Stegostoma tigrinum: one gene and its partner. The protein of the gene in region 2 purifies or fractionates together with the protein of the main gene of each other region. This does not show direct contact. Links are inferred from orthologs where the notes say so. Each region holds a gene or a part of one and is shown on either strand. Other genes may lie near its edges.

Region 1 (10,824 bases), on a different chromosome or scaffold from region 2:
TTGGCTCCTAGATGAAATTCCGCCTGTCAAATTTTCACCCACACACTCATTGTACCTTTATACTCTCGCTGATTTCTTATGCCCTCATCGCAACATGCCCTCCCACCTATTTTTGTATCAGCAGCAAATCTGGAGAAATTACACTCTACCCCATCTTCCAAGTCATCAATTCAGATGCTGTATAATTGAGGCTCTAAGACTGATCATAGAGGGGAATTTTAAGGATGGTGATTAAAAACTCATGAGTGCCACAAGGATTAGACCTGAGGCCACGATTATTTACAATATTTCTTAACTACTCAAATGTTGTATGTAAAAGTACCCTCACCAAGTTTGTGTCTGATACAAAAATAGATAGGAAGGTAAATAGTGAGGATAAGAAAAGAAGTCCACAGAGGGGTACAGACAAGTTAAATGATGGGGTGAAAAACTAGGTAGATGGAACAAAATATGGCAAAATATAAGGTTATGAAATTTAGCAGGAAGAATAGATTATTAAAATAGGGAAATATTGCAAAAAACTGCAATGCAGAACATTCATGAATCACAAAAAAAACTAGCATTCCAGTTCAGCAGGAAATAGGAAAAGCAAAAGGAATGTCGGCCTTTAGTTCAAAGGAAATGGAGAATAAAAATTGGCAGCAAAGGCACTGATCAGATCACAGAAATTACTAGAAAAGCTCAGCAGGTCTGGCATGATCTATGGAGAGAAACCGCTGGAGAATTCCAAGATAATAAAATGTGAGGCTGGATGAACACAGCAGGCCAAGCAGCATCTCAGGAGCACAAAAGCTGACGTTTCGGGCCACCATCAGAGAGGGGGATGGGGAGAGGGAACTGGAATAAATAGGGAGAGAGGGGGAGGCGGACCGAAGATGGAGAGTAAAGAAGATAGGTGGAGAGAGTGTAGGTGGGGAGGTAGGGTGGGGATAGGTTAGTCCAGGGAAGACGGACAGGTCAAGGAGGTGGGATGAGGTTAGTAGGTAGATGGGGGTGCGGCTTGGGGTGGGAGGAAGGGATGGGTGAGAGGACGAACCGGTTAGGGAGGCAGAGACAGGTTGGACTGGTTTTGGGATGCAGTGGGTGGGGGGGGGAAGAGCTGGGCTGGTTGTGTGGTGCAGTGGGGGGAGGGGACGAACTGGGCTGGTTTAGGGATGCAGTAGGGGAAGGGGAGATTTTGAAACTGGTGAAGTCCACATTGATACCATATGGCTGCAGGGTTCCCAGGCGGAATATGAGTTGCTGTTCCTGCAACCTTCGGGTGGCATCATTGTGGCACTGCAGGAGGCCCATGATGGACATGTCATCTAAAGAATGGGAGGGGGAGTGGAAATGGTTTGCGACTGGGAGGTGCAGTTGTTTGTTGCGAACTGAGCAGAGGTGTTCTGCAAAGCGGTCCCCAAGCCTCCGCTTGGTTTCCCCAATGTAGAGGAAGCCGCACCGGGTACAGTGGATGCAGTATACCACATTGGCAGATGTGCAGGTGAACCTCTGCTTAATGTGGAATGTCATCTTGGGGCCTGGGATGGGGGTGAGGGAGGAGGTGTGGGGACAAGTGTAGCATTTCCTGCGGTTGCAGTTGAAGGTGCCCGGTGTGGTGGGGTTGGAGGGCAGTGTGGAGCGAACAAGGGAGTCACGGAGAGAGTGGTCTCTCCGGAAAGCTGACAGGGGAGGGGATGGAAAAATGTCTTGGGTGGTGGGGTCGGATTGTAAATGGCGGAAGTGTCGGAGGATAATGCGTTGTATCCGGACGTTGGGAGGGTGGTGTGTGAGAACGAGGGGGATCCTCTTGGGGCGGTTGTGGCGGGGGCGGGGTGTGAGGGATGTGTTGCGGGAAATACGGGAGACGCGGTCAATGGCGTTTTTGATCACTGTGGGGGGAAAGTTGCGGTCCTTGAAGAACTTGGACATCTGGGATGTGCGGGAGTGGAATGTCTTATCGTGGGAGCAGATGCGGCGGAGGCGGAGGAATTGGGAATAGGGGATGGAATTTTTGCAGGAGGGTGGGTGGGAGGAGGTGTATTCCAGGTAGCTGTGGGAGTCGGTGGGCTTGAAATGGACATCAGTTACAAGCTGGTTGCCTGAGATGGAGACTGAGAGGTCCAGGAAGGTGAGGGATGTGCTGGAGATGGCCCAGGTGAACTGAAGGTTGGGGTGGAAGGTGTTGGTGAAGTGGATGAACTGTTCGAGCTCCTCTGGGGAGCAAGAGGCGGCGCCGATACAGTCATCAATGTACCGGAGAAAGAGGTGGGGTTTGGGGCCTGTGTAGGTGCGGAAGAGGGACTGTTCCACGTAACCTACAAAGAGGCAGGCATAGCTGGGGTCCATGCGGGTGCCCATGGCCACCCCCTTAGTCTGTAGGAAGTGGGAGGAGTCAAAAGAGAAGTTGTTGAGTGTGAGGACGAGTTCAGCTAGGCGGATGAGAGTGCCGGTGGAGGGGGACTGGTCGGGCCTGCGGGACAGGAAGAAGCGGAGGGCCTTGAGGCCATCTCCATGCGGAATGCAGGTGTACAGGGACTGGACGTCCATGGTGAATATGAGGTGTTGGGGGCCAGGGAATTGGAAGTCCTGGAGTAGGTGGAGGGCGTGGGTGGTGTCACGGACGTAGGTGGGGAGTTCCTGGACCAAAGGGGAGAAATTGGAGTCCAGATAGGTGGAGATGAGTTTGGTGGGGCAGGAGCAGTCTGAGACGATGGGTCGACTAGGGCAGGCAGGTTTGTGGATTTTGGGAAGGAGATAGAAACGGGCCGTGCGGGGTTGGGGAATAATAAGGTTGGAGGCTGTGGGTGGGAGGTCCCCTGTGGTGATGAGGTCGTGAATGGTGTTGGAGATGATGGTTTGGTGCTCGGGTGTGGGGTCATGATTGAGGAGGCGGTAGGAGGTGGTGTCGGAGAGTTGGCGTCTGGCCTCGGCGATGTAGAGGTCAGTGCGCCATACTACCACTGCGCCACCCTTGTCTGCGGGTTTGATGGTGAGGTTTGGGTTGGAGCGGAGGGCTGCCCGTTCTGCGGGGGAGAGGTTGGAGTGGGTGAGAGGGGTGGAGAGGTTGAGGCGGTTAATGTCTCGACGGCAGTTGGAGATGAAGAGGTCGAGGGAGGGTAGGAGGCCTGGGGGTGGTGTCCAGGAGGCGGACTTGTGTTGGAAGCGGGTGAAGGGGTCAGTGGAAGGAGGGTTGGGTTCCCGGTTGAAGAAGTAGGCATGGAGGCGAAGACGGCGGAAAAACTGCTCTATGTCCAACCGTGACTGGTATTCGTTGATGTGTGGTTGTAGGGGGACAAAGGTGAGCCCCTTGCTAAGGACTGACCGTTCGTCCTCAGTCAGTGGGAGGTCTGGGGGGATGGTGAAGATGCGGCAGGGCTCAGTGTGGCTGTCTTCTCTGGGGTTGCTGGCTGTGGAGGTTGTGGGCGGAGCGATGAGGTTGTCGGCCATGGGCGGGGTTCCGTCAGCCGTGGGCGGGGTTCCGTCGGCTGTTGGAGGATCGGGGTGGGCGGCAGCAGCTGCGGTGAGGGTGGTGTGTGTGGTGTTGTACCTGGACGTGGAGGTGGTGACTGCAGCAGCGGTTCCGGAAGTTCTGTGGCCGGCGGAGGCGGATGTGACGTCATCGGTGGGGTCTCCGGCCGTGTCCTCATGGTCAATGGCGGCGGGTGCATGGTGGGGGAGGGGCAGGGACAGAGTCGGGATTTGGGAGGCGCAGGAATCCTCTAGTGGGTCGCAGGGGCCCGTGAGTTGGTTGTACTTACGATTTTTGGTGTCCAAACCGCAGGAAATGCTACACTTGTCCCCACACCTCCTCCCTCACCCCCATCCCAGGCCCCAAGATGACATTCCACATTAAGCAGAGGTTCACCTGCACATCTGCCAATGTGGTATACTGCATCCACTGTACCCGGTGCGGCTTCCTCTACATTGGGGAAACCAAGCGGAAGCTTGGGGACCGCTTTGCAGAACACCTCTGCTCAGTTCGCAACAAACAACTGCACCTCCCAGTCGCAAACCATTTCCACTCCCCCTCCCATTCTCTAGATGACATGTCCATCATGGGCCTCCTGCAGTGCCACAATGATGCCACCCAAAGGTTGCAGGAACAGCAACTCATATTCCACCTGGGAACCCTGCAGCCATATGGTATCAATGTGGACTTCACCAGTTTCAAAATCTCCCCTTCCCCTACTGCATCCCTAAACCTGCCGAGTTCGTCCCCTCCCCCCACTGCACCACACAACCAGCCCAGCTCTTCCCCCCCCACCCACCCACTGCATCCCAAAACCAGTCCAACCTGTCTCTGCCTCCCTAACCGGTTCTTCCTCTCACCCATCCCTTCCTCCCACCCCAAGCCGCACCCCCAGCTACCTACTAACCTCATCCCACCTCCTTGACCTGTCCGTCTTCCCTGGACTGACCTATCCCCTCCCTACCTCCCCACATATACTCTCTCCACCTATCTTCTTTACTCTCCATCTTCGGTCCGCCTCCCCCTCTCTCCCTATTTATTCCAGTTCCCTCCCCCCATCCCCCTCTCTGATGAAGGGTCTAGGCCCGAAACGTCAGCTTTTGTGCTCCTGAGATGCTGCTTGGCCTGCTGTGTTCATCCAGCCTCACATTTTATTACTTCCTTATAACAATCTTCCTCCCGAAAGTTGTGAAAATCCATCACCCATCATCGACTACAATTCCGGCAAGGATCAGGAATATCCGGTCGCACTCGGAAATATCCGGCCAGAATCGGCAATTTCCGGTCTACCTCGGGTATTTCCGCCAAGACCGGGCTAGCAGCATGGTGGATTCTGTGCAACCGTAGGTTCGGGTGCCAATGGAGAGTCGGCCTCCTCCAGCAAAGAAGTTCAAAACATCATTGTCCGTGTGTGCTCAAAGGCGGGACAATGCACTCTCGCGGGAGATGGAGATTGACCAACAGCGGAGAGAACTGCCCATCTATCGGGCTCGGGGAAAGCTCCTTGGACAACTGCGACAGCTGGACGCGGCGGTGATCATTGGTAACCACCGTCGGCCGGCCTAACCAAAACCTCCCCCAAGCTAAGAAACAATGGAGTGTGGAACTGGAGGAACACGGCATCATCAGGGGAACAGTGACTCGAAATGTGAGCTTTCCTGCTCCCCTGATGCCACCTGGCCTGCTGTGTTCCTCTAGCTCCACACTGCTGTTGTCTCTGTTTCTAGCAGCTCTTAAATTCTCCCCCCCCAAACTAACTCGACCACCACCACCCCCAGCCGAACCATCCCCCAAACTAATACCACCACCACCACCCCCAGCCGAACCATCCCCCAAACTAATACACCACCACCACCCCCAGCCGAACCACCCTCCAAACTAATACCACCACCACCTCCCCAGCCGAACCCCCCTCCCAGCTAACGCTACCACCACCACCTCCCCAGCCGAACCCCCCTCCCAGCTAACGCTACCACCACCACCTCCCCAGCCAAACCCCCCTCCCAGCTAACGCAACCACCACCACCTCCCCAGCCAAACTCCCCTCCCAGCTAACGCTACCACCACCACCTCCCCAGCCAAACCCCCCTCCCAGCTAACGCTACCACCACCACCTCCCCAGCCAAACCCCCCTCCCAGCTAACGCAACCACCACCACCTCCCCAGCCAAACCCCCCTCCCAGCTAACGCTACCACCACCACCTCCCCAGCCAAACCCCCCTCCCAGCTAACGCAACCACCACCACCTCCCCAGCCAAACCCCCCTCCCAGCTAACGCAACCACCACCACCTCCCCAGCCAAACCCCCCTCCCAGCTAACGCAACCACCACCACCTCCCCAGCCAAACTCCCCCTCCAAACTAATACCACCACCACCACCTCCCCAGCCAAACCATTCTCCAAACTAACTCTACCACCACCAGCACCAAGCCCCCACCAGAACCAACCCCATATTAACCCCAAACTGAACTAACCTTGACCTCAACACCCTCCCATGAAACTGGACTACTACTGCCTGAAACCACGCCCCAAAAGAACCCACACTAAAATCAACTCCAAAACTACTCTTGCTGTCCCCCAGCCTCATTAAAACCTTCCCTGAACTGACATCCACCAAATAATGCCCTCTGTAACCAGCTCTCCCCCTAACTAACCCTATCTGAAACCATCCCTGAAAACCTACCCCTCCAAACTGACCACCAAAAACTAGCCTGTCCAATCTAATTCTTCCTAAACTAACCACCCCTCAAACTAATCACCCTTTTAAACTGTTCTCCAAATTAGCACTACCACTTTGAAACCATCTCCTGCACCCTCAGCTTAATTAAACCCAACCCCTAAACTAATCTACTCTTGGAACTACCTCCCAAAGAAAGCCCTGCACAAATTCCCAGGAAAAAAAAATCCCTGAAAACCAACTCCCAAATCAATCTCTTCCCTAAAACCAACCCCAAACATACTTTTCTGAAGCCATCTCTCAATCTGACCCACCTGCAAATAAATCGTCGCTCCAAAGCCCCCACCCAAAATCATATCTTTTCCCCCCACCCCCAACAAATCTATACCCCAAACTGATCCCTTCCTGGGAACCACATCCTTCCAAAAGCACACCCAAACTGAAAACCCCTTCCCAAACTCTCCCCCCAAACAGACCTAGAGTTACTTGCTATCTCCTCTCTCCCATTTTGACTAGTGTCATATTAGCAGTTTTCCAATAGTCTGGTACTTCTGCAGAGCACAAAGATTTTTGGAAAATAACAACCCTGAAATGGCAAACTGATTGCTGTCCCACTGGCCTTCTGACTCACCCCACCCTTGATACTTACCTTGACCCCATAGACCCACATACTCACCCTGACCACCCCGACACTCTCAGGATTGTGGGATGCCAACATCACACTGACTGCACCAGTATGTGGCGAATTACAACACCATTCGGTGACTGTAGCCTCATCCTGTGAGGAAAGGGGGACTGAATGAAAATTTGTCAGAGGTGTTTGCTTTTCAGTGAGATATTAAAACCAAGTTCTAGCTTCTAACATAACAGGTCCCTGACAGAGTAATGCAGGAAAGTTGGAATTTTTTCTGAGTCTGATCAATATTTGACTCCTAACCAATACCAATGAAATGAGAAATAAAACCCTAAAATGTTGGAACTCCCCAGCAGGTTAGGCAATATCTGTGGCTACAGAAGAATACACTTACAAAATAAGATTGCTTAATTTTGTCATTGTTACTTGTGTGGAAATAGGATTCACATTTACCTACAAACTAGTAGTGATAATCTTCAAAAATAATCGGCGGCAGAGTGCTGAGAAATGTATAAATCAGTGCAAGTTTGACCTGTTTCTGGTGTTCCAAGTTCTACAAGGTGGCAATTCCACTGGGTAGTAATTTGCACAGTATATTTTTGTGGAAAGTTGAGGTACATTTCAATATGACCTTGAAAGCAGCAGAATTTACCTCATCAAACATTGAAAAGATAATAGTCAGCTACTTCTTTCTGAAGTAATGCCATTTCATTAAAGAAGGTATACTGTTTTAGTAATTGTAAGTGGACTTTGAGATTGTTTGCAACCCAACTTCTGAGTTAATATTGCTTGACTTTGATTATTAAATTGAGTGGCACTATCTTTGCAACCAAAACAACATCTGTTCACTACATGCATCCCTTAAACATAGGGGCAGCTGGTAAATGATTGGATGGTGAAACTCTTATTAATAAATGTGTGTAATTATGAGGTATGACCATGATTGTGCTGAGGCTATACAAGTACGTAATTCACTTTAGTGCAGTCTGATTAAACCCTGTTTAACTTTAGTAGAAGTAACTTGCCTGTGTTAACATAAGAACTAGGAGCTGGAGTGGTTCATTCGGCTCCACAAGCCTGCTTCGTTTAATACGATCATGGCTGATCTCATCTTGGCTTCAACTCCACATTCCTGCCTGCTCTCCATGACCCTTCAACCTCTTATTAATTTAAGATCCATCTGTCTCCTCCTTTTTAAATTTGCTTAAAGTCAGAGCATCCACCGTACTCTGGGACGGCAAATTCCACAAATCAGCAACCCTTTTGAGAGAAGTAATTTCTCCTAATCTCTTCTAAAACTGCTATCCCTTATTCTAAGACAATTGCTTTTCATTCTAGATTGCCCTACAGGGGGAAACATCCTCTCTATGACTACTTTGTCAATCCCATTTCGCATCTTATATCCCTAAATCAGATCTCCTCTCATTCTTCTGACCTTCACAGAGGAATTGCTTAAATTGCTCAATCTTTCTTCACCTTTTGATTTAATCCCATGGACCTCCTCTGAACTGCTTCCAATGCAACTAAATCTCTCCTTGGGTAAGGGAACCAAAATTGTATGCAGTACTGCAGGGGCACTCTCACTAATGCCTCATATAGTTGCAGTAACACTTAATTTTTGCAGGTAAATTTTTGTTAAGCAAATGTATTAAGAGATGTAGAGAAAGGCCACACAGATCAGCTTTGATTTCAATGAATGGTAGATCAGGCTGGAGGGCTGAAAGGTTACAGGAATAAGCCATCCTTGTGTATGTTTATACTCTTCATTGAGCAATAAATGGCAAAATTCCATTGCCTTCCCCCCCCCACTCCCCCCGGCACCATTACCTGCTGTACCTGCAAACTAGCTTTTTGTAATTCATGCACAACAGCATCCAGATCCATCTGCACTGAACTACTCCGAGGTTCCTCTTGATTTAGATAATAATTTGCCTTTCTATTCCTCTGATGAAATAGATAGCCTTATGTTTATCCATGTTAAACTTCATTTGCCAAAATTTGGCCGATTCATCTAACCTGTCCATATCCATTTGTAAATTTCTTATTTCTGCATCAGTACTTACATTTCCACCTGTTTTAGTGTCGTTTGCAAGTTTGGCTATAGTGCTTTCTGTCCCTGCACCAAGTCATTAATATTGATTGTCAGGCCCCAACTACTTACAATCCGGCACCCTAGTAAATCTGTGTTGTGACCTAAAAGATCAATATATCCTGAGTATGTGTATAACATAGTGACCATGTCACTCAACCACTAACTCAGAACCCCAGACTGGAGACGTGTTCATTAAAACAAAATTGGAAAATAAATGTAGCCGTTATTGATTGTCTCAAAAACACATCTGGCTCATGAATCACCTTTGGGGAAGGAAACTTTACCTTGTCTGGCTTACATGTGACTCCAGATGCTTCCTGTGGTAATGTAGTTGACTTTTAACTGCACTTTGAACAATTGGAATGTGCAAACAAAGCTGATCTTGCTGCTGACTTCCAAAATCCATGGACATATAAAACCAAAAGCTTTTATGATAAACAGCCTGCATGGGTTTCCTCTGGGTCCTCTGGTTTCCTCCCACACTCCAAAGATGTGCAGGCTAGATGGATGGGCCATGCTGAATTGCCCATAGTGTTCAGGGACGTGTAGATTAGGTGGATCATGGAGAATGCATCTAGGTTGGATGCTGAGGGTCAGTGTGGACTTGTTGAGCCAAAGGGCCTGTTTCCACACTAGGGATTCTGAAGCCTACGAATACGTGAATATTTCTTTTAAATGTCTTGATGATTTCAGTACAGCATTCTTGAGCATTCCTTTCTTAGGATCTGGATTCCAATCTATACCATTATGATGAAGGACCACTCAAGGTATTAGTTGTGAGGGTTTTGAAAGAGATCAATTTAAAAGCCTTGGCCGGGCACAAAGCCCAGATGAGGGGACAACTTGCTAAACCTGGCTCATGTTACGATGTTTTTAATTCAAGGTGAGACAGGTTCGGGGAAGACGACACAGATTCCACAGTATCTGTATGAAGCCACCATCGGGCGACAGGGTATCATTGGCGTCACACAGCCCCGACGTGTGGCAGCAATATCACTTGCAGCTCGTGTCTCAGAAGAAAAGAAAACAGAGTTAGGCACGTTGGTAAGATTTTATTTTAACGCTTCTTGTAGTGTCAGCGACAAGGCCAGCATTTGTTGCTTATCCCTGGTTGCTTTTAATATGTAACTTCTAAGAACAAAATAAATAGGAAGAAGAATAGGTTTTTCAGCCCATTGCGCTAGCTCCACCATTCTAGGTCATTGTTGATCATCTCATTAATGAATGTAGCTGGCATTTGACTGCCTTTGCCTAAACTTCATGCTTTCCAAAAGTTGGAGCATTTTCTTGAGCCTGTCATCATGGGTGTAATTATTTGGAACTGAAATAAGTGGCTCATTTAAATAATGCACTATTCCCTGAATTTCTTGCAAACTGAGTGTTAATAGTCAAATATGACATTGACTTGTCAACTAAAGGGTGCAGATATGCGTTTTGTCTAAGTTTTGTGGGGAAAAAAACTCTAGATTTCTGATAATGTGGTGAATACATTCTTGACATTTTGTCAAATTTTCTGGTGGATTACATTTTTAGACCCTGACTATCAGTCAATTTATAATCCTACACTATCAATACTTGCTGGAGTTGGTGCAGGAATGAGGGCTTAAGACTCTGGGACCACTGGGTATGTTTTTGGGGAAGATGGGTACATGTTCAAGTCTTGAGTTTGCATCTGACCCACATAAAGGCCAAGATCCTGGTGTTGTTGGTTGGGGTTCAGTTTTGCAGAGTAAATGGTATATAGTTTGAGGTACAATAGTGCGCAATGCGCAGACAATTTGGAAGAAAATCCAAGCACTCTGGTTGTCAACATGTATGTAGTCAAGACACAAGGGAACTTAGCATGGGGTTGATGGCATTTATTTTAATGCAAGGAACCTTGTGATTGAGGGACCTGATTAACACATGGAAATACGATATTGCTGTCACAGGGACATGTTTGAGAGATGGGCAGGACTGGTAGTTCAGTA
Region 2 (10,824 bases):
CAGGCCTATCCTGTAACATTCCAGGTATTAGTTTAGCGAATGTTCTCTCAACTGCTCCCAATGCTTTATCAACCTTCGCTAAGTAGAATGACCAGTACTGAAAACAGTCTGCCAGCTGTAGGGTCACCAATGGCCTCTACAACTGAAGTATAACCTCGCTCATCTTGAATAAAGCGTAACATTCTGTTAATTTCCTGATTACTTGTTGTATCTGAAAAATAACTTTGTGATTCATGCACTAGAACACTGAGATCTCTCTGCATTTCAGAGCTCTTCAGCTCTCACCGTTTAGATTATTTAGATTATTTTTTATCCTTTCTGCAAAAGTGGACCATTTCAGCCATTTTCCAATTGTACTCCATTTGCCATATCCTTGACCACCCACTTATCTGTCTATATCCCTTTGCAGGCTCCTCGTATCCTCTTCCAAACTCAATTTCCTACTATCTTTGTGTCATTAGAAAATTTAGGTGCCACACCTTCGATCCCTTCATCCAAAGCATTTCCGTCAATTGTAAAGAGTTGAGGCTCCAGCATTGACCTCTACTGTACACTGCTCATAACATCCTTTCAGCCTGAAAGAGACTCACAAATTTCTACTCTCTGCTTCCGGCTAGCAAACCAGTCAAAACCATGTTGCCTCTGTCTGATTACCTTGGATAAGTTATCTTTATAACAGTGATTTTTAATATTTTCCCTGTGATATATGTTAACTGGCTTGCTTTCTGCCTCACTCTCTTTTTGAATAAAGAAGTTACATTAGCTATAAATTGAATATGTTTTGGAAAATTAAACATGCATCAACTTTTTCACTGGCAGCTCTAATGGCTAAACAGAAATTGCAGCAAAGCAGATGAACATTGGTATGGATTTACACAGATATAATAGCGAACAAATATAACTACTTTCTCAGGTTGTAGTAACTGGTGTTGCCTTTACTTCAACTTAATCGGGCATAGTTGCTGGGTGTAGCCTGCAGCTCAAGCATGGCAACAATCATGCTGCCCTGTCTGCACTGAAAACCGGATGTTTGTGACTATTGACATTACATCCCACCTCTACCACCCTGCTTGCCACAGTAACCTTTTTTTTTAATGCACTATTATGTCCCTCCTGCTTACAAATTGAGTTTCCCATCTTGTCCATTATTGTCCCCTCTGTATTCCAGCATGCTGCCTCCAATGCCCAGAATTGACTTCTCCAGCATCCCTTCCGTAGCCGGTGCCCCTGATAAACCCTGTTGACTATAAGCGAGCTGACCGCCCAAAACTGAAGACTGACCAGATCCCTGACTGATCTCTGTACAGCTCCCGACTGACTTACTCAGAGTCCCCAGACTTTTTGCACTGAACCTGCAAGTCTGACTGTCGTGCACTTCCTGGTCTTCAGACTATCGGCTCACTGAGTCTGACCATCGCAAGTTCCTGGCTGGCCATGTCCAAGCCACTCGACTGATAATGAATGATGTCCTTGACTTACTGTGCCAGGACCTCCTGACTGAAGGCTATCTTCCTTGGCCTGACTGAGAAACAGTCCCTCATACTTTGAGACTTGGCTGTTTGGTTGAACAAATTTCAGTGAGTTTGCCGCATAAGGTACTAGCAAATGGTGCAGGTATCAGATGAACATAGCCTAACACTGTGTGGCAACATGTTCATTCCTTTGACTGATCACTTCTGACAATGAAGTCAAGCTACCTAGTTTTGTGTCTGTGAAGCAAGGTGAGAAAAGTTTGACGAGCCTCTAAGCTCTAGCTGATAGGGCACATCGCAAAAAGGCAAGGCATAGGCTCTGTGAGTATTGAAGAAAGCACAAAGTGAGTGAGCACTAAAAGACCCAAGCAAACAGCCCTGAGGTACACCCTAGTCCAACTAGGTGCTAATCCCTGCAGGCAAATTATCTTGGCAGTATTGTTACAGTGATAAGTGCCAGTACACTCCAAAATGGGGCATTGAAGAGCAGTTGTAAGTGTTTTGGAGATATTTCATGAGGGTGCAGTGAGTCTGGTATGTGTCCATGCCAAGGCCCGTGCTGTTGTTGTCAATGGAGCAAGCCTAAAATGTTCTGTACTGTTGATCAAGGTAAAGGTTTGGAAAAGCAAGCAATGAGCTGGAGCCACCAGATACCCTCTCTGACTTTAATGTTAGAAACTCTTGGCATCTAGTTTCTATCCACTAGCTGGGAGAATGGCAAACTGCATATCAATGAGGAGAGATTAGGTAAAAAGACATGTAGCATGTGCAAAATAGATCTCTCGTGGCTCACCAATGACATTCCTGTCTCGCCATTCAAAGATTGGTTGACCTGACTTTTTTCCTTTTGTCAATGAGAGTGTAATTTCTGCCAATTTCAATGTTTTCCCAACTGACTCATTAATGCCCATGTCATTTGGGAGCAGGAAGAATTCAAACCAATATGTCTAATATTGGGCAGTGTGAAGGATGTGAGCCAGTGCCAAGAAGTTGCACAAATGTTGGTTCCAGGTATAAGTACAGTTAAATAGATCGAAGAGAGAAACTGAGGTTGTTCTCCTTAAAGAGGGGAGATTTGATAGTATTCAAAGTCATGAGGAGTCTAGACAGTGCGAACAGAGAAGAGCCAAGAGACCGAGGACACTGATAGAAGGTGAATACCAAAAGGAGCAATGTTGTCAATAGGAAATGCTTTGTATACATGTGTTATACTGTACACGTATGGGCAGCGCGGTGACTTGATAGCTCACTGCTGCCTCACAGCACCATGGTCCCGGGTATAATTCCACCCTCGGGTCTGTGTGGAGTTTGCACATTCTCCCCGGGTCTGCATGGATTTCCTCTGGGTGCTCCAGTTTTCTCCTACAGTCCAAAGATGTTAAATTAGGTGTTTAGCCGAGAGAAATGCAGGGTTACAGGGATAGGGTAGGATGTTCTTCGGAGGGTCGTTGTGGACTCAGCAGACCAAATGCCCTGCTTCCACACACTGTGGCGATTCTATGCTTCTGTTTACAACATATATCGTCAGCACATTTGATACTGTACACTCTGCTCCCTGGAGGGGAGGTAAAAGCAGACAGCTTGATCTCATTAAAGATAACAAAGTGTGCAGCTGGATGAACACAGCAGGCCAAGCAGCATACTAGGAGCACAAAAGCTGACGTTTCAGGCCTAGACCCTTCATCAGAAAAAAAAGCTTGATCTCATTGTCAGAAGGGATCAATCAAAGGAATGAACATGTTGTTCATCTGATACCTGCACCATTTGCCAGTACCTTATGCAGCAAACTCACTGAAATTGGTTCAACTAAACAGCCAAGTCTCAAAGTATGGAAGGAGTATTTCTCAGTTAGGCCAAGGTAGACAGCTTTCAGTCAGGAGGTCCTGGCACAGTAACTCAAGGATACCATTCATTATCAGTTCCTGAGGAAGGGTCACCGGACACAAACATTAACTCTGTTTTCTCCTTCACAGATGCTGCCAGACCTGTTGAGCTTTTCCAGCAACTCTGTTTTAATCCCAGCCGACTGTGTTTGCAAACCAATTCTTAATCCATGGGTGAGGGCCTGAAGAGAAAAAGAAGTTGCAAATTATGGGGAAGGGGTCGTGAAGTGGTCTAGCTGTCTTGCTCTTGCTGAGAACTGACGTGAACATGACTGGTTGAATGACCTCTCTCAGTGCTATAGTAATCATTCAACGATGATTTTCATCCTCCCAAAAAAGCTAAAGCAAAGCAAGTATACAACAGGGAAATGTTCTCCATATGATTCACCAGTTATTGAAGGTGATTTGACAGTTGTGCATTCTAGATTTTCTCTAATTCCTTCCAGGGTACACTTTTTGCTACAATTATGTGGTGCACCCAGAGATGTCAAAAACCATTTCAACTTCGTTTGACGATTAAACACAGAATTACAATTTGAAGTACTTTTTATACTCACACATCTTTAATACATCTAAAAATGCACGTGGCCAGTTCCTGCTTGTACAACAATAATTTGCTGAAACAAAAACAAAGTTGCTGGGAAAGCTCAGCAGGTCTGGCAGCATCTGTGGAGGAGAAAATAGAGTGAACGTTTCGGGTCCTGTGACCCTTCCTCAGAACTTGCTGGACTCTGGTGCCTGACATTTATTTGCATTTTGCTGGGGTTTTTTTTGCTCAGAGCGGCATTGAGTCCTCCCTCCTGCATATCCAAGGAAGGTGGCGATGTAACAGTTTGCTTCTCCTAATATTTAGTTCAGATTGGATAATTCCTCCCATGTGACAGGCTGAGTCGCTGGTTTGCTTTGCTGTGTGTGAAGAGTTTTTCACTGATTGCATTTGTTCATTCCGCTGGTGATGTCGAGAAATTGAAAAGTATCAGGTAATTTTTTTAACCGACTCTTCACAAAGTTACCCTGCTCGTTCTGAAACAGTGGAAGTTGTGGGAACAAACTTGTCTGATTTGTTGTCCCGAGATTAAATTAATGATTATACTTCAGATCTTTCCGTTCTGTTTCCTCGTTTTCTTCCAGCTGGTCGGTTCCCTGCTGATTTTTAAACCTGCGAATGTCAAATTAAATTCGATCCCCAGAGACCTGGCCACATAATACAAATAAGTAACAAACACTGCAAATTGTGTAAATCGGTTAACAGAAACGGGGAAATTGGAATTGCATTCCTGAGTAAACAGAAGTTGGTCGTCAGGCTTTGTTTCAAGTTTAAGACCCTTCCTCTGGTCTTGAATATTGATTCATTGAACTTTTGGAATACTGCAATATGCTGAGTATTTCCAGAGTTTTCTTTTGCTGAAAAGTTCAACACATCTGTTAAAAACAATAAGGTGTTGATCTGCTGTCAGGACTGTTTCTAGCTACCTGTTATATAAAGACTAACTTTTTGGGAATAATCAGGATGGCTAGAAATACATTTGCTTGATTTTGACTAAAGTAAATCCACTCCATCTGCTAAATTGCTCCCAGAAGACCATGGTTAGTAACTTTGCAGATGACACCAAAATTAGTGGTACAGTGAAGAAGGTTATTTAAGATGGCAAAATGATTGTGATCAATGGGCTGAGGAGTGGCAGATGGAGTTTAATTTGGATAAATGTGAGCTATTGCATTTTGGTAAAACACACAATGACAGGACTTTTACAATTAGTGGTAGGGCTATCGGTAACGTTGTAGTACCCAGGGTTCAGGTATGTAATTCTTTGAAATTTGCATTACAGGTAGACAGAATAGTTAAGAAGGCATTTGGCATGCTTGCCTTCATTGCTCAGACCGTTGCCTCCCTTACTCAGTGAGGAAGGACTGCAGATGCTGGAAGCCAGAGTCTGTAGGTGTCAGGCTGGAAAAGCGCAGCAGATCAGTCATCAAATGAGGAGCAAGAAAGTCAGCATTTCGGCCCGAAACATTGACTTGCCTGCTCCTCGGATGCTGTCTGATCTGCTGTGCTTTTCCCGCCTCACACCTATAGAATTTGAGTATAGGAGCCAGGACATCATGTTGAGATTGTACAGGACGTTGGTGAGGCCTCTTCTGGAATAATGTGTGCAGTTCTGGTCATCGTGCTATTGGAAGGGTACTATTAAACCGGAGAGGGTTCAGAAAAGGTTTACTAAGATGTTGCTGGGACTGGAGGGTTTGAGTATTAAAAATAGGCTGGAGAGCTTGGGACTTCTTTCATTGGCGCACAGAAGATTGAGGGGTGACCTTAGGGAGGTTTATAGTCATAAGGGACTTGGATAAGGTGAGTAGCGTGGGTCTTTTCCCTAGGATGGGGGAATTCCACACTAGGGGGCATATTTTTGAGGTGAGAGGAGAAAGTTTTAAAAGTGCTTACTGAGAGGCAACCTTTTTACACAGATAGGTTTGGGTGTGGAATGAAGTGCCAGAGGAAGTGGGGGTGTAGGTACAGTTACAGCATTTAAAAACATTTGGCTAAGTATACGAACAAGAAAGATTTGGAGGGATATGGGCCAAATGCAGGCAAGTGGGACTAGTTGAATTTGGCAACATGGTTGGCATGGACTTGTTGGAATAAAGGATCTATTTCCATGCTGTAAGACTCTACGACTCTCTTTGACATAGCAGGTGTTGGCTATTCAGCCCATCGAGTCTACCCTACTATTCAAGCAGATGATGGCAACTCTTCTTTCCTGCCTCTGCCTCATCATCTTTGATTTTTTTCTTGATTAAAAATCTGCCTCTCGCAGCCTTGAACGTACTTCAAGATCCAACCATGAAAGCCCTGTGTCATAAAGAATTCCACAGATTCACTGCCTTCTGAAAGAAGAAAATCTTCCTCATCTCTGTCTTACTTTGAGATTAAGCCCTCTGGGCCTAGACTGTCCCATAAGGGGAAACAACCTTTCTGAATATACCGTGTGAAGTCCCCTAAGAATCTTGTATGTTTCAATAACATATAGCCTTCGCACAAAGTTACTTGGGGCCTAACACACACGCACACACATAGAAGTTAGAAAGAGATGGTGTTCAATTCAAAGGAAGATTAGACATAAATAGTTTAGAGTCCTTTGGGAGTCCCTGACCATAAGGTTTTATCTGAGATCACTGTCAGTTATATAAAACAAAAACACTACAGATGCATTCTCCTATGTCCTCCATCTCAATCACATCTTTTCTGATGATGCCACTTTCGCTCTCAGAAATGCCCACCTTTTTCCTCAACTGAGGATTTCCTGCTGCTGTGGTCAACAGGATCTTTAACCTTTCTCCTGCACTTCTGCCCTCACCCTTTCCTTTCTCCACCACAGCAAGGATAGGATCTCCCTGATCCTCACTTACCAGCCCACCAGTTTTCACATCCAAAGGATTGTAAGCTGCCATTTCCGTTACCTCCAGTAGAATGTCACAACCATGTGCAAATTCCCCTCCTCTCTTCTGCAGGGACCATTCCCGCCAGGATACCTTGGTTCACTCCTCCTCCATTCCCAAACATTTCCACACACCCCCAAAGCACCTTCCCATGCAAGTGCAAAGGCTGTGATACTTAGCTGTTTACCTCCTCAGGATCCAAGGACCCAGACACACCTAGGTGAAGTACTGTACTTGACTCAACCTAGTCTGTTTGCTGCTCACAATATTGTCTCCTCTATATTTGGGAAATGAAACACATTTGGGTGACTGCTTTGCAGGACACATACCTTCTGTCCAGTTTCCAGTTGACTGTAACTTAAACACACCACCGCGTTCCTTGGCCAACATCTCTGTATCAGGCTTGCCGCAGTGCTCCAGCAGGCTGGAAGAACAGCATCTTATTTTCTACTTGGGGGACCCTGCAGCCTTCAGGACTCTAACTTCAGAACCTGATTTCATCCTTCCATGTTCTTTGCCCACCCCACACCCAGTTCCGTTATGACATGGTGCTTTTAGCACAGTCACCTGTTCTCACCTACTCCTAGGCCAATTAACACGTTGTATGGGTTGCTTTCAGTGCAGCTCACCAACTCTGTCATCCTCTTAGCTCTTATTATTACTGGTTCAGCTTTTCTTCTGTCCTGGTTGGCTATCCAAAATCTCCTCCTTGTTTATCTACTCCTTTCATATCTTTCTGTGTGTGAGCTGCATTTCTGCCCGTCCGCTCATTGTCTCCTCCACCACCAACTTCAACACTTTTTCCCAGCTGCTAACCGTTCTCGTCATCAGATTTGAAACCTTAACTGTCCTTTCTTCTCCCAGATGCTGCCAGACCTGCTGCACGTGGCCGGTTAGCTCAGCCAATTAGAGCATGGTGCTAATAACACCAAGGTCGTGAGTTCACTTCCTGTACGGGCCAACTGTAGTTTTAGGGGAGACAATGGTCTAGTGGTATTACCGTTGGACTGTTATTCCAGAAACCCAGATAACATTCTGGGGACCTGGGTTCAAATCCTGCCATGTGAAATTTGAATTTAATAAAATATCTGGAATTAAGAATCTAATGTTGATCATGAATCCATTGTCAATTGTTGGAAAAACCCATCTGGTTCACTAACGTCCTTCAGGAAAGGAAACTGCCATCCTTACCTGGTCTAGCCTACATGTGACTCCAGACCCACAGCAATGTTGTTGACTCTGAATTGCCCTCTGGGCAATTAGGGATGGGCAATTAATGCTGCCTGGCCAGCGATGCTGTCATCCCATTAATGAATAAAGATTTCACCAGCAATTTCTGTGTTTATAATAGCCAGTTAACAGGTTTCTTGGATTATCAGCAGCAATGAATATAACAGTTTTAAGTTCTAGGTTTTTTGATATTTCTTTCTAATCAGCCCTGCCATAGGACACATTTCTTGTTGAGATAGAGCTTTCTCTGCCTTTGTTATGTTTAGTGTTGTACGTTAGTTCCATCATTTCTGGTCTGCCATAAAAGAGCTCCTTAAAATAGCAGTGTTTGTGTAGATTTCATGTCCCCTGAAATTGTGTTTTTCATTCTTGACAATTGTAGGCTCCGTCTCCAAAACGTGTGAAGATTCTCACAATGGTATGAACTGACCAGTGTTAATGCTTGGCAGAAATGCTAATTTCAGCTCAGACTGCTCTTGATCTAATCAATATCAGTTTTATTAAATTTGGGCAATGTGTGTGGGTCAGGCAATCCCTGTCGTCATCTTACATTAGTATTTCAGGCCATCAAATTCCCAGGTATTAAGTTGGCCAATGGGATTAAAGATCAATAGGCTGTATTTTATATCATATTGACATTCCCTGTGAATGTCTTGGGATATTTTATTACATTGAAGGTGCTAAATGAAGAAAGCATTGGTTTATGTTAGGACAGTACGGCTCATTAAGCTGGTGCATTGACAAAGCCATCAAATTACTTCCATTTTCTCAACGGTTACATTCTCCATAACCCTGCACATCTTTTCTTTTCAAATATATACGCAATTGAAAACGTTGTCAGTGGCACTTTGCACAAACTCTTCTTCTTTACCACTAACTACACCATCTTGTTTTCCCACTCTCTGTGATGAATCAGACTTCTCAATTTTAGCATGCGCTTACAGCCACAGCAAGCATTAAGCTTCATCTCTTACCAGTCACTGCTTATAGCTCAGAAGGAAGCCATTTGGCCTGCCATGACTGTGTTCGCTCTCTGAAGGAGCTTACTGCCACTCCCAGGCCATTTTCTAATTGCTGTTCATGTTCTTCCTTTACAGATAATCAAATTCTCTGGAATATTTAAATTAGATTAGATGCCCTACAGTGTGGAAACAGGCCCTTCGGCCTAACAAGTCCACACTGATCCTCAGAGCATCCCAACCAAACCCATCCCCCTATAACGCACACACTCCTGAACACTACGGGCAATTTAGCATGGCCGATCCACCAAGCCTGCACATCTTTGGACTGTGGGCGGAAACCGGAGCACGGAGAAAATCCACGCAGACACGGGGAGAATGTGCAAACTCCACAATTACAGTCGCCCGAGGCTGGAATCGAACCCAGGTCCCTGGCGCTGATGCAGTGCTAACCGCTGAGCTTATTGAACGTACCTAAAACAGCCCACAAGGCAGAGCGTTCCAGATCCCAAACACCTGACGTGTGGAAAAGTTTTCCATTATGTTGCCATTGCTTCTTCTGTCAGTTATTTTAAATCTGTGTCACCTTCTTCCTCATCCTCCCACCAGTCATGAAGTTCCCTGACTTTCACTTGGGCAATATAACCCACTTCAACTTGTATACCAACACCTTTGCTTTTGGGTCCGTCATGCCTTTCTTTCTGTCAAGCATCTTGAACTTTTTACTGTGTTGAAGACATTCTAAAAATACAGATAGTGTTTGGCCTGTCTTAATTTGACTATTGCAACTAACTTCATTAATCTCCCATTCTACACTCTATAAACTTCAACTTTCCTGAATTGTGCTACACATATGCTGTCTTGTTTAAATTTGTGTTCACTTATTAACCATGCCTTCTTCAGTCCATACTGTTTTCTCATAATTCAATACAAGCTGAAATTGTGCCCTGTGACATTACTCCACCTTATGTTTACAATCTCCTGGAACCTTTTATCTTCCTGACTCTCCCAGCTTCTATTTATATCATCTGATTATGGCCTCTAATACATTGATAAAAGATATTTGGGTACTTTTTGCTATCTTTTTAAACTTCCAGTCTAAAATTCATCATCTACGTAAAAGTCCATCTGCAACATATCTGTCTTTGCCCAGATTTGGTCTAATCTCTTTCTTCCAGTTTTTGTGTTAACTTCCTTTTTTGTTTTTGTGAAGTATCCTGCTATTGTACCATCTGTTAAAGGCACTGTACAAATATAGTGTGAGTGATGTGAGGCTGGCTGATTACTGGTATTTAACAGCAGGCAAATACTATGCTCAAATTTTAGACTCTAATCATTGTTGAGTTGCATATATTGTTTGGGTGGTATTTTTTGTTGACATATGCATAATGTGAATTAAAAACACAAACACTTCTTACAGTAATAAAATGCAACAATCGGTCTTGTTATTCTTTATTATTAAATTAATTTCAAGTGTATTGACTTATTGATCTCTTCATATTGTTGAAGGGGATCTAGACATGACATATTAAACCAGCGCAAATGTGTTTTTCTATTTGTGGGATATGGTATTCACTGGTGTGGCTATTATTGGTTGGCCATCCCAAATTACCCTAGAGAATGTGGTGGTGAACTGACTGCAGTCAGTGGAGAGGTATGTGCATCTACAGTGTTGTGAGGAAGGAATTCCAGGATTTTGACACAGTGACTGTAAAGGAACAGTGAAAACTTGCCTAGTGAGGATGGTTTTTGGCTTGGAGGAGTACTTGCAGGTGATGTTCCCAAATATCTCCTGCCCTTGTTCTTCAAGGTGTTAGGATTCATGGGTTTTGAGGTGTTGTC

What was found. Proteins that work in one complex are often made in the same cells at the same time.
Region 1: the proteins of usp36 (region 2) and dhx33 purify together in Homo sapiens (affinity purification with mass spectrometry; 5 studies listed by BioGRID and IntAct, counting the BioPlex papers as one, with this or other methods). This does not show direct contact. The link is inferred for Stegostoma tigrinum from reciprocal best matches to the Homo sapiens genes USP36 and DHX33.

The regions. Positions count from the first base shown.
Region 1 is NC_081380.1:836,445-847,268, forward strand, and holds the start of dhx33 (ATP-dependent RNA helicase DHX33), read left to right. Parts: upstream 1-4,758; 5' UTR 4,759-4,810; coding exon 4,811-4,994; exon of another isoform or gene 4,995-5,044; coding exon of another isoform or gene 5,045-5,099; intron 5,100-9,737; coding exon 9,738-9,898; intron 9,899-10,824. UniProt on the Homo sapiens protein: Implicated in nucleolar organization, ribosome biogenesis, protein synthesis and cytoplasmic dsRNA sensing. Stimulates RNA polymerase I transcription of the 47S precursor rRNA.
Region 2 is NC_081375.1:16,690,863-16,701,686, reverse strand, and holds the start of usp36 (ubiquitin carboxyl-terminal hydrolase 36), read left to right. Parts: upstream 1-4,248; 5' UTR 4,249-4,335; intron 4,336-10,824. UniProt on the Homo sapiens protein: Deubiquitinase essential for the regulation of nucleolar structure and function. Required for cell and organism viability.